2 linked regions of the Saccharomyces cerevisiae S288C genome follow. The gene in region 2 interacts genetically with the main gene of each other region. Each region holds a gene or a part of one and is shown on either strand. Other genes may lie near its edges.

What was found. Genes that interact genetically often act in the same process or in processes that back each other up.
Region 1: mutations in YKU80 (region 2) and TRM2 impair growth when combined (synthetic growth defect), as found in Saccharomyces cerevisiae (2 studies listed by BioGRID, with this or other methods).

Annotation. Positions count from the first base shown.
Region 1 is NC_001143.9:547,835-551,867, forward strand, and holds TRM2 (tRNA (uracil(54)-C(5))-methyltransferase), read left to right. Parts: upstream 1-1,613; coding exon 1,614-3,533; downstream 3,534-4,033. Other genes in the region: DYN1 (dynein heavy chain), read right to left, coding at 1-91; Rho family GTPase RHO4, read left to right, coding at 382-1,257; 40S ribosomal protein eS21 RPS21A, read left to right, coding at 3,823-3,846. UniProt on the Saccharomyces cerevisiae protein: Catalyzes the formation of 5-methyl-uridine at position 54 (m5U54) in all tRNA. May also have a role in tRNA stabilization or maturation.
Region 2 is NC_001145.3:474,931-482,143, reverse strand, and holds YKU80 (ATP-dependent DNA helicase YKU80), read left to right. Parts: upstream 1-1,953; coding exon 1,954-3,843; downstream 3,844-7,213. Other genes in the region: YMR106W-A (uncharacterized protein), read right to left, coding at 957-1,220; YMR105W-A (uncharacterized protein), read right to left, coding at 3,886-4,080; phosphoglucomutase PGM2, read left to right, coding at 4,538-6,247; putative protein kinase YPK2, read left to right, coding at 6,691-7,213. UniProt on the Saccharomyces cerevisiae protein: Single-stranded DNA-dependent ATP-dependent helicase. Involved in non-homologous end joining (NHEJ) DNA double strand break repair. DNA-binding is sequence-independent but has a high affinity to nicks in double-stranded DNA and to the ends of duplex DNA.

The DNA.
Region 1 (4,033 bases), on a different chromosome or scaffold from region 2:
CATTCTCTTTGGGAGAATTCTTTATACCCGTTACAGTAGCTGCAACAAATTCTATCAGCTCATTAGCAAGTCTTGCCTCATTCTTGCACATTGCCTAAAAAACGTTTTGACGTACTTTCCAATTTAAGCTCTGAACGAGTATTATTGCCCTTCTATGTTCTATGCTTTCTGTTAATTTTTATATGTAATGTTTGTTTACCTTTCATTAGCTTATTTATTAGAATCCGTACAATGCGACCTTCCGCGCATCAATTCGGGATGATCTGATTAAGTAGTTATAGCCTTACGTTAAGACGACAAAAGACATGATAAGCATCCCTCAAAAGTTACAGCAAACTTAAGTCAAATAGGTCCAAAAATCTCCAATAGTAACGCTTTTTCATGAATACACTATTATTTAAGCGAAAAGGTGGCAATTGTGGGAACGAAAGTAACATAGTTTCGCAGGGATCGCCCTCAAGTAGCAATCTTCCTGAATCACCTGGCACTTTAGATGAAAAGAATCTTCCCAGATTGCCTACTCCATTCGCTAGAAGCCTTTCTACCATTCCTAGTTATGAGCAGATGAAACGTACAAACAAACTGCCAGATTATCACCTAAAGATTGTTGTTGTGGGAGATGGCGCTGTAGGGAAGACGTGCCTGCTGATATCTTATGTCCAAGGAACATTTCCGACTGATTATATTCCTACTATTTTCGAAAATTATGTCACAAACATAGAAGGACCCAACGGTCAAATTATAGAATTGGCATTATGGGACACTGCCGGCCAAGAAGAGTATAGTAGACTTAGACCGCTTTCATATACGAATGCAGATGTGCTGATGGTGTGCTATTCTGTTGGTAGTAAGACATCGCTTAAAAATGTGGAAGATCTCTGGTTCCCAGAGGTTAAGCATTTTTGTCCTTCCACTCCAATCATGCTAGTCGGCCTTAAATCAGATCTATATGAAGCTGATAACCTTTCAGATCTGGTGGAACCAAGTTCAGCAGAATCCTTGGCCAAGCGTCTGGGGGCATTTGCACATATTCAATGCTCAGCACGATTGAAAGAAAATATCGATGAAGTATTTGAAACTGCCATACACACGTTACTTTCCGATTCATTATATGCTCCCAGAGAGCCTACACATACAATCAAAAATCCCTTTAAAAGAAATACCACCAGATCAGATATCGATTCTTCTACTGGAGATACCAGCGTCTCTATTTCCGGAACGAAAAGATTAAGAAAAAACAAGTGTATTATAATGTAAGAATAATGATGAAGATTATTCTGTTGCCCATTCTGTACGCACTTACAACATTTGAAAAGTGGCAAGAAAAAATACACACATTTTACTATCTTCCGCTATCTTATTTATCAAGACGAAACAATTAGAACCTGATTTAATTTAACTTCCATTTTTCTGAATCTGGTGTGATATACCGCTCCAATATATTCGAATTTATCCCAATTTTATCATAATAATTCATTTTAATTCGATGTCATAAAGTACTAATTCGATATTAATCTAGCCTAATTACATTAAATACTTAATAAAAGCTTCTGTGACATAAAAGTACAAATCTGTCATTTTATTTTAGAGGAATAGTTTAGGACAAAGTCATTATGTACGAACAGTTTGAATTTTCTTTTTTTTTCTTCGAAAATTCAGACAATAAGGTTAAATATAAAGCTCATCTCATCTCATCGATAAAACGCTGGAGTATTATCACATGCATGCGTTGCTTTTGGACCGTACAGAAGTCTATATTTAAAGCTAGGTTTTTCGCTTGCAGAAACTTTGTCAAGAAGCATAATTATAAACTAATCAGCACCATGACTGGAAGTACTGAAATGGTACCACCAACAATGAAACATACCGTTGACAACAAAAGGCTTTCGTCTCCTTTGACAGATTCTGGTAACCGCCGGACTAAGAAGCCAAAGTTGAGAAAGTACAAGGCCAAAAAGGTTGAAACAACTTCTCCGATGGGTGTCCTAGAATTTGAAGTGAACGATTTGTTAAAATCTCAAAATTTGTCCAGGGAGCAGGTTCTGAACGATGTTACTTCAATTCTAAATGATAAGTCCTCAACAGATGGACCTATCGTCTTACAATATCACCGAGAGGTAAAAAATGTCAAGGTCTTAGAAATTACTTCCAATGGCAACGGGTTGGCTTTGATCGATAATCCTGTTGAAACAGAAAAGAAGCAAGTTGTTATCATACCGTTTGGCCTGCCCGGTGATGTAGTTAATATCAAAGTCTTTAAGACCCACCCTTACTATGTCGAGAGTGATTTATTAGACGTAGTGGAAAAATCTCCAATGAGAAGAGATGATTTAATTAGGGATAAATATTTCGGGAAATCTTCAGGAAGTCAATTAGAGTTCTTAACTTACGATGACCAACTAGAATTGAAAAGAAAAACAATTATGAATGCCTACAAGTTCTTCGCACCAAGGTTAGTTGCTGAAAAACTTTTACCCCCATTTGACACCACCGTAGCTTCCCCTTTACAATTTGGCTACAGGACCAAAATTACGCCTCATTTCGATATGCCAAAAAGAAAACAAAAGGAACTATCAGTAAGGCCTCCTTTAGGATTTGGTCAAAAGGGTAGACCTCAATGGAGAAAAGATACTTTGGATATCGGCGGACATGGTTCGATATTAGATATCGATGAATGTGTGCTTGCAACTGAAGTTCTCAACAAAGGATTGACTAATGAAAGAAGAAAGTTTGAGCAAGAGTTTAAAAACTACAAAAAAGGCGCGACTATTTTACTGAGAGAGAATACCACTATTTTAGACCCTTCCAAACCAACTTTAGAACAGTTAACCGAAGAAGCCTCTAGGGATGAAAATGGTGATATAAGTTATGTCGAAGTCGAAGACAAAAAGAACAATGTCAGGCTGGCTAAAACTTGCGTTACCAATCCTAGACAAATTGTCACTGAATATGTTGATGGATATACTTTTAATTTTAGTGCGGGTGAGTTTTTTCAAAATAATAACTCTATCCTGCCAATAGTGACCAAGTATGTCCGTGATAACTTGCAAGCTCCCGCTAAAGGTGATGATAATAAAACAAAGTTTCTAGTAGATGCTTATTGTGGATCAGGTCTTTTCAGTATATGCAGCTCCAAGGGCGTAGATAAAGTGATTGGTGTAGAAATTTCCGCTGACAGTGTCTCTTTTGCAGAAAAAAATGCAAAGGCAAATGGTGTTGAAAACTGTAGATTCATCGTTGGAAAGGCTGAGAAACTCTTTGAGTCTATTGATACTCCAAGTGAAAACACTTCCGTTATCTTGGATCCACCACGCAAGGGCTGTGACGAATTATTCCTAAAGCAATTAGCCGCATATAATCCAGCCAAGATTATTTACATATCGTGTAATGTCCATTCCCAGGCACGTGATGTCGAGTACTTCCTCAAAGAAACAGAAAACGGTTCCGCCCACCAGATTGAAAGCATAAGAGGATTTGATTTCTTTCCACAAACGCACCACGTTGAGAGTGTGTGTATAATGAAGAGAATCTAATTGCACATATAAAATATCTATCACTATGTATATCTTTCTAGAGTAAATGTCTTCCTGTACTTTTAAATCCGTACATTTTGAAAATTGAAAATGTATCTCAGATTCATTTTTCAATTCGAAATGAACGAAAATTACACTAAAAAGGTAACGTGTAGAGTGATATTATGCACAACGATTTTTTGAAAATTTCATATACGTTATTCTAATGTTTAGTAGAGAGTTTAGCGGAAGATATAAGGTGATCAGGCGTAAATTAACCACATACAAACCATAGAAACATCATACCAAAATGGAAAACGATAAGGGCCAATTAGTATGTTCGAGAAATCTATAAGATTTTTTATATTTTAACGGATGAATGGAAAGTGCATGGCTGTTTAAATAAATGTAAGAAAGATATCATAATGCAAACAAAACGTAGGCATCCGCAATGTATGGAAAACATACTTATGGTTACCGATAATAAGCAACTCCGAAGGTGCCATAGACCAGCTCTGAAT
Region 2 (7,213 bases):
TGAAAAGGGAAGCATTGGTGATTTTTTTTTCTTGTTCGTACTTCCTTCTGAGCAGAAAGTAAAAAGCCCAGAATGCGACAAAGACATACTCCGGCTGACAATAACGCAAGTGCTGTCACATAAGACTCCTTATATATGACAGTTTGCTGTATTTGTACAGTTGGACCGTCTTCATTACAACAATATTTATTGAACAGTAGCTTGTAATAGGCCGGCATTTTTTTGGTTAATAACAATGCCAGATAACCGCGAAGATTTATAATGGTTTATCGGTTGCATTTTCCATGAGTATAGAAACTATTATAGCGACCTCATTCTCCGGTCATTTAAATTTCCAAGGATCTTAGAGTCCACAAAGGACACAAATAATTTTACATAATAACGATATTACCTCTTTTTCCATTTTATGCGTTGTCGTTCACTATCCTGTTACATTATCAATCTTCGCATTTTAGCTTTTACCACATCCGATAGCCGTTTCTCAATATTATGCCATCTTCCTACACCATATAAGATAATATACCAGTAATATTGATACCAGTGAATGGATGATAGTTGATTGTTATTCCAACAAATAAAATCACAATCATTATCACCATTGCAATGAAACTCCATTTATCATCTATTTAGTAGTATTCATGTTTCTAGTATATAATCATATGCGGTGTAAGAAAATGACATAAAGTTTGAGAAACAGTCATCAAATCTAATGAAAGCTGAAATGCGAAGATTGATAACGTAATAGGATAATAAACGACAACGTATAAAACGAAAGAAGATAAAGTAATTTTTATTATATAGATTTATCGACTCCCTTTTGTGGATTCCAAGATCCTCGAGGAGAACTTCTAGTATATACTGTATACCTACATTATAGCTTTTGTTGACAATGGAGTCCCAACAATTATTACAATATTCACTTATTTCTCACATCATTATGAAGTGACTCCCCTCGGTTAAACGTTAGCGTGTTCTTCATTGCCTGTGGATGAGGATGAGCGCCGGTGCAAACTTTCAAGTTTTTCGAGAGCGTCTTCAAACTTAGCTACCACATTGTTGTCTACATCAACAAAAGTATGGTTCCATACTAAACTACCATCTTCTTTATTGCCGCTTAATTGTAACACGTCTACATTACCAGAATGATGAACTCCGCCTGTCAGATAGTCGTGCTTTGGTGCGGTCTTGATAAAATTGTTGATTGCTTCCATCGATATCATGATTCAGCCTAGGATTTGTGGGTTGCTTTGATTGATTGGAAATGATCGACTATGAGACCTTGAACCAGTTTAATTTTAAAATAAATATTTTTGTTGAACTAGTTCAGCAACCGAAATCCAGAAAAAAAGTTCTAGAAGAATAGTTTTATTAACTTTGAGAAAGTAAAAGCTGAGATAAAAAACCAGCTCAACATATAAGAATACAAGCTGACGGTAAATAACAATAAGTAGCCTTGTTGGCGCAATCGGTAGCGCGTATGACTCTTAATCATAAGGTTAGGGGTTCGAGCCCCCTACAGGGCTTCTTTTTTTGAAGATTCAAGTAAATATGCTGCATACATAATTCTCATTCAAAATATATACACTTAAGACATCTGGCCTTTTCTAGTTAATCTATATATTTAGTTCTTATAATAGATGAATGTACCGTCAACCAAAGATTAGCAGTTGGAGGGCGTTAAAAACAATTTACCATTGCCAGGATTCGACAACACTATTGTAACGTATTTCTGTTTCTGGTCTTGGAGTAATGTTTGTAGTCTATTAGCGGAAGTACCTTTTTACAGTGTCGACACAATTTGACTATTTTTTCAACTAGATTACCGCATGTCCGTCAGGGCATTTGTTGTCATGCAAAAAAATGAATAAAAAAAAAGGGCATCATCAAGAGAAGAAAACCTAATTAACGAGAGTGCAGGACATATGCACAAATAATATATCTCACACCATAATAATGTCAAGTGAGTCAACAACTTTCATCGTGGATGTTTCACCATCAATGATGAAAAATAATAATGTTTCCAAATCTATGGCATATCTAGAGTACACTCTATTAAACAAATCTAAAAAAAGTAGAAAAACAGATTGGATAAGCTGTTATCTCGCTAATTGTCCCGTATCTGAGAATTCCCAGGAAATACCAAATGTGTTCCAAATACAATCCTTTTTGGCTCCTGTTACCACGACGGCCACCATTGGGTTTATAAAACGCCTGAAACAATATTGTGATCAGCACAGTCATGATAGTTCGAATGAAGGCTTACAATCAATGATTCAATGTCTGTTGGTCGTCTCATTAGATATTAAACAACAATTTCAAGCAAGAAAAATTCTAAAACAAATTGTTGTATTTACAGACAATTTAGATGATCTGGATATTACTGATGAAGAAATAGACCTGCTAACGGAAGAATTAAGCACAAGAATCATTTTGATTGATTGCGGTAAAGACACTCAAGAGGAGAGGAAAAAATCGAACTGGTTAAAGTTGGTCGAAGCGATACCGAATTCAAGAATCTACAATATGAATGAACTTCTTGTTGAAATCACTTCCCCAGCAACATCTGTCGTTAAGCCAGTAAGAGTATTCTCAGGCGAGCTTAGGTTAGGGGCAGATATATTATCAACACAAACATCGAATCCTAGCGGCAGCATGCAAGATGAAAATTGCTTATGTATCAAGGTAGAGGCTTTTCCTGCTACGAAAGCAGTTTCAGGCTTAAATAGGAAAACCGCTGTTGAGGTGGAAGACTCCCAGAAGAAAGAAAGGTATGTGGGGGTCAAATCCATAATCGAATATGAAATTCACAACGAAGGAAATAAGAAAAATGTCAGTGAAGATGACCAGTCTGGATCGTCATACATTCCCGTGACCATCTCCAAAGACTCTGTAACGAAGGCATACCGTTATGGTGCAGACTACGTAGTGCTACCGTCCGTTCTAGTCGATCAAACTGTATATGAATCTTTTCCAGGCTTGGATTTAAGAGGATTTTTGAATAGAGAAGCTCTTCCAAGGTACTTTTTGACGTCGGAATCCTCCTTCATTACCGCCGACACAAGACTTGGCTGTCAATCTGACTTAATGGCTTTCAGTGCTCTAGTGGATGTTATGCTAGAAAATAGAAAAATTGCTGTTGCAAGATATGTGAGCAAGAAAGACAGTGAAGTGAATATGTGTGCATTGTGTCCCGTTCTAATTGAGCACAGTAACATTAATTCCGAGAAGAAGTTTGTTAAGAGCCTTACCTTGTGTAGATTACCATTCGCGGAAGACGAGAGGGTAACTGATTTTCCAAAACTTCTGGATCGAACAACTACATCCGGGGTACCGCTGAAAAAGGAAACAGACGGGCATCAAATCGATGAGCTTATGGAACAATTTGTAGATTCAATGGATACAGATGAGCTACCAGAGATTCCGTTAGGCAACTACTATCAACCCATAGGCGAAGTAACAACAGACACCACTCTCCCACTTCCCTCTTTAAATAAAGACCAAGAGGAAAACAAAAAGGATCCTCTTAGAATACCCACGGTTTTTGTCTACAGGCAACAACAGGTGCTACTGGAATGGATTCACCAACTGATGATCAATGATTCCAGGGAATTTGAAATCCCAGAGCTTCCTGACTCATTGAAAAACAAAATAAGTCCTTACACGCACAAGAAATTTGATAGCACAAAATTGGTTGAAGTGCTCGGCATCAAGAAAGTAGACAAATTAAAACTCGACTCCGAACTAAAAACTGAGCTTGAGAGGGAAAAGATCCCGGACCTAGAAACGCTATTGAAGCGCGGTGAACAACACAGTAGGGGAAGTCCAAACAATAGCAATAATTAAAAAAGGTCTAACATCCTTTGAGTTATGTTTTCGTCACCACAGTTAAAGAGAAAAAAAAATAAATAGCGGGTAAATAATTGTCATACTACTGATTTGCATTGTTACCTTGTAACTTTGAACACTAGCCATGCAGGTTGCTTTTCCTCCTTTACACCTTCCCCCCTGTCGCTGTTCAAAAGTAAATGCAACAACAATAAAACGTGGGTAGAGGACGTTCCCTGTATGTACTAAAATCATACTATCATCCGTTGAGGTCGAGCGGTTCTCTAATCTCAACACACGCTGCTGCCCCTGAGCTTGCGAGCTAAGGACAACAGGGCCAACTTGTTCTTTCTAGGGGGGAGAGGCCCAACTTAGGCTCGGTGAAGAGAAGCGCGGAGCTCACGAAAAGGGGTGGTGTCGCGCACTACTTTTTTCGTGGGGAACTTACGTGAAAGGGGACGTTATACTTTTGTTATGTGCAGTTCCAGGAACAAACAGGGGTTGAAAAGTGTAAAAGAAATAGTTGATTCTTTCAGAATCTGGATGACTGCCGCCCGAACAATGTGGGAAATATAAAAAGGTACCGTTAATATTGTTTCATTTTCGAAGATAGTGTTCCATGTCTTTCTTCAGCGTTGCTTGAACAATAGGATAATAAGAAGAAGATCAACCAATCTTTCTCAGTAAAAAAAGTAACAAAAGTTAACATAACATGTCATTTCAAATTGAAACGGTTCCCACCAAACCATATGAAGACCAAAAGCCTGGTACCTCTGGTTTGCGTAAGAAGACAAAGGTGTTTAAAGACGAACCTAACTACACAGAAAATTTCATTCAATCGATCATGGAAGCTATTCCAGAGGGTTCTAAAGGTGCCACTCTTGTTGTCGGTGGTGATGGGCGTTACTACAATGATGTCATTCTTCATAAGATTGCCGCTATCGGTGCTGCCAACGGTATTAAAAAGTTAGTTATTGGCCAGCATGGTCTTCTGTCTACGCCAGCCGCTTCTCACATCATGAGAACCTACGAGGAAAAATGTACTGGTGGTATTATCTTAACCGCCTCACATAATCCAGGTGGTCCAGAAAATGACATGGGTATTAAGTATAACTTATCCAATGGGGGTCCTGCTCCTGAATCCGTCACAAATGCTATTTGGGAGATTTCCAAAAAGCTTACCAGCTATAAGATTATCAAAGACTTCCCAGAACTAGACTTGGGTACGATAGGCAAGAACAAGAAATACGGTCCATTACTCGTTGACATTATCGATATTACAAAAGATTATGTCAACTTCTTGAAGGAAATCTTCGATTTCGACTTAATCAAGAAATTCATCGATAATCAACGTTCTACTAAGAATTGGAAGTTACTGTTTGACAGTATGAACGGTGTAACTGGACCATACGGTAAGGCTATTTTCGTTGATGAATTTGGTTTACCGGCGGATGAGGTTTTACAAAACTGGCATCCTTCTCCGGATTTTGGTGGTATGCATCCAGATCCAAACTTAACTTATGCCAGTTCGTTAGTGAAAAGAGTAGATCGTGAAAAGATTGAGTTTGGTGCTGCATCCGATGGTGATGGTGATAGAAATATGATTTACGGTTACGGCCCATCTTTCGTTTCTCCAGGTGACTCCGTCGCAATTATTGCCGAATATGCAGCTGAAATCCCATATTTCGCCAAGCAAGGTATATATGGTCTGGCCCGTTCATTCCCTACCTCAGGAGCCATAGACCGTGTTGCCAAGGCCCATGGTCTAAACTGTTATGAGGTCCCAACTGGCTGGAAATTTTTCTGTGCTTTGTTCGACGCTAAAAAATTATCTATTTGTGGTGAAGAATCGTTTGGTACTGGTTCCAACCACGTAAGGGAAAAGGACGGTGTTTGGGCCATTATGGCGTGGTTGAACATCTTGGCCATTTACAACAAGCATCATCCGGAGAACGAAGCTTCTATTAAGACGATACAGAATGAATTCTGGGCAAAGTACGGCCGTACTTTCTTCACTCGTTATGATTTTGAAAAAGTTGAAACAGAAAAAGCTAACAAGATTGTCGATCAATTGAGAGCATATGTTACCAAATCGGGTGTTGTTAATTCCGCCTTCCCAGCCGATGAGTCTCTTAAGGTCACCGATTGTGGTGATTTTTCATACACAGATTTGGACGGTTCTGTTTCTGACCATCAAGGTTTATATGTCAAGCTTTCCAATGGTGCAAGATTCGTTCTAAGATTGTCAGGTACAGGTTCTTCAGGTGCTACCATTAGATTGTACATTGAAAAATACTGCGATGATAAATCACAATACCAAAAGACAGCTGAAGAATACTTGAAGCCAATTATTAACTCGGTCATCAAGTTCTTGAACTTTAAACAAGTTTTAGGAACTGAAGAACCAACGGTTCGTACTTAAAACGAATGATTTACTAATGGCTTAATGATTTTCACCTTTTTCAATGAATATTAACGGTAAAGAAGAAAATTTCAATTTTTTGAACACATACTTTATATACTTAATAGATCCATATTTCGACATATTAGCAAACGATTGCATAGGTTTCTGAGTCTTTTTTTTTTTTTTTTCATAAGGAGGAGAATATTTTGGTTAATCGCAGTATCTTCTTCATAAGTGCTGTTTCTAATTATATCTAATTCACGAATTTTTCCCAAATTAGCGTATCCCCGAATTCAGATTACCTACCCCGAGTTTTTTATTATATTTCCCTCGAGAAATCTGTAAAATGGCCGTCATCCTTAGATTTATAAATAAAATGATAAAATTCAGCCAAAGTGCTCCTAAACCAGAATTGTTCAACTGGGTCAAATTATCGCGTATACAAATATACATATAGTAACATGCATTCCTGGCGAATATCCAAGTTTAAGTTAGGAAGGTCCAAAGAAGATGATGGGAGTAGTGAAGATGAAAATGAAAAATCGTGGGGTAATGGCCTGTTTCATTTCCACCATGGAGAAAAACATCACGATGGTAGCCCGAAGAATCATAATCATGAACACGAACACCATATAAGAAAGATCAATACAAATGAGACTCTCCCAAGTTCCTTAAGTTCTCCAAAATTACGTAATGATGCATCCTTCAAGAATCCATCGGGGATAGGAAATGACAATTCTAAGGCTTCCGAAAGGAAAGCTAGTCAGTCGTCTACTGAGACGCAGGGACCGAGTTCGGAATCCGGACTAATGACAGTGAAGGTGTATTCTGGTAAAGATTTTACTCTTCCCTTCCCTATCACCTCTAACTCTACTATTTTACAAAAACTACTAAGTTCCGGCATCCTTACTTCATCATCCAATGACGCTTCCGAAGTTGCAGCCATAATGCGGCAGCTACCACGATACAAGAGAGTGGATCAAG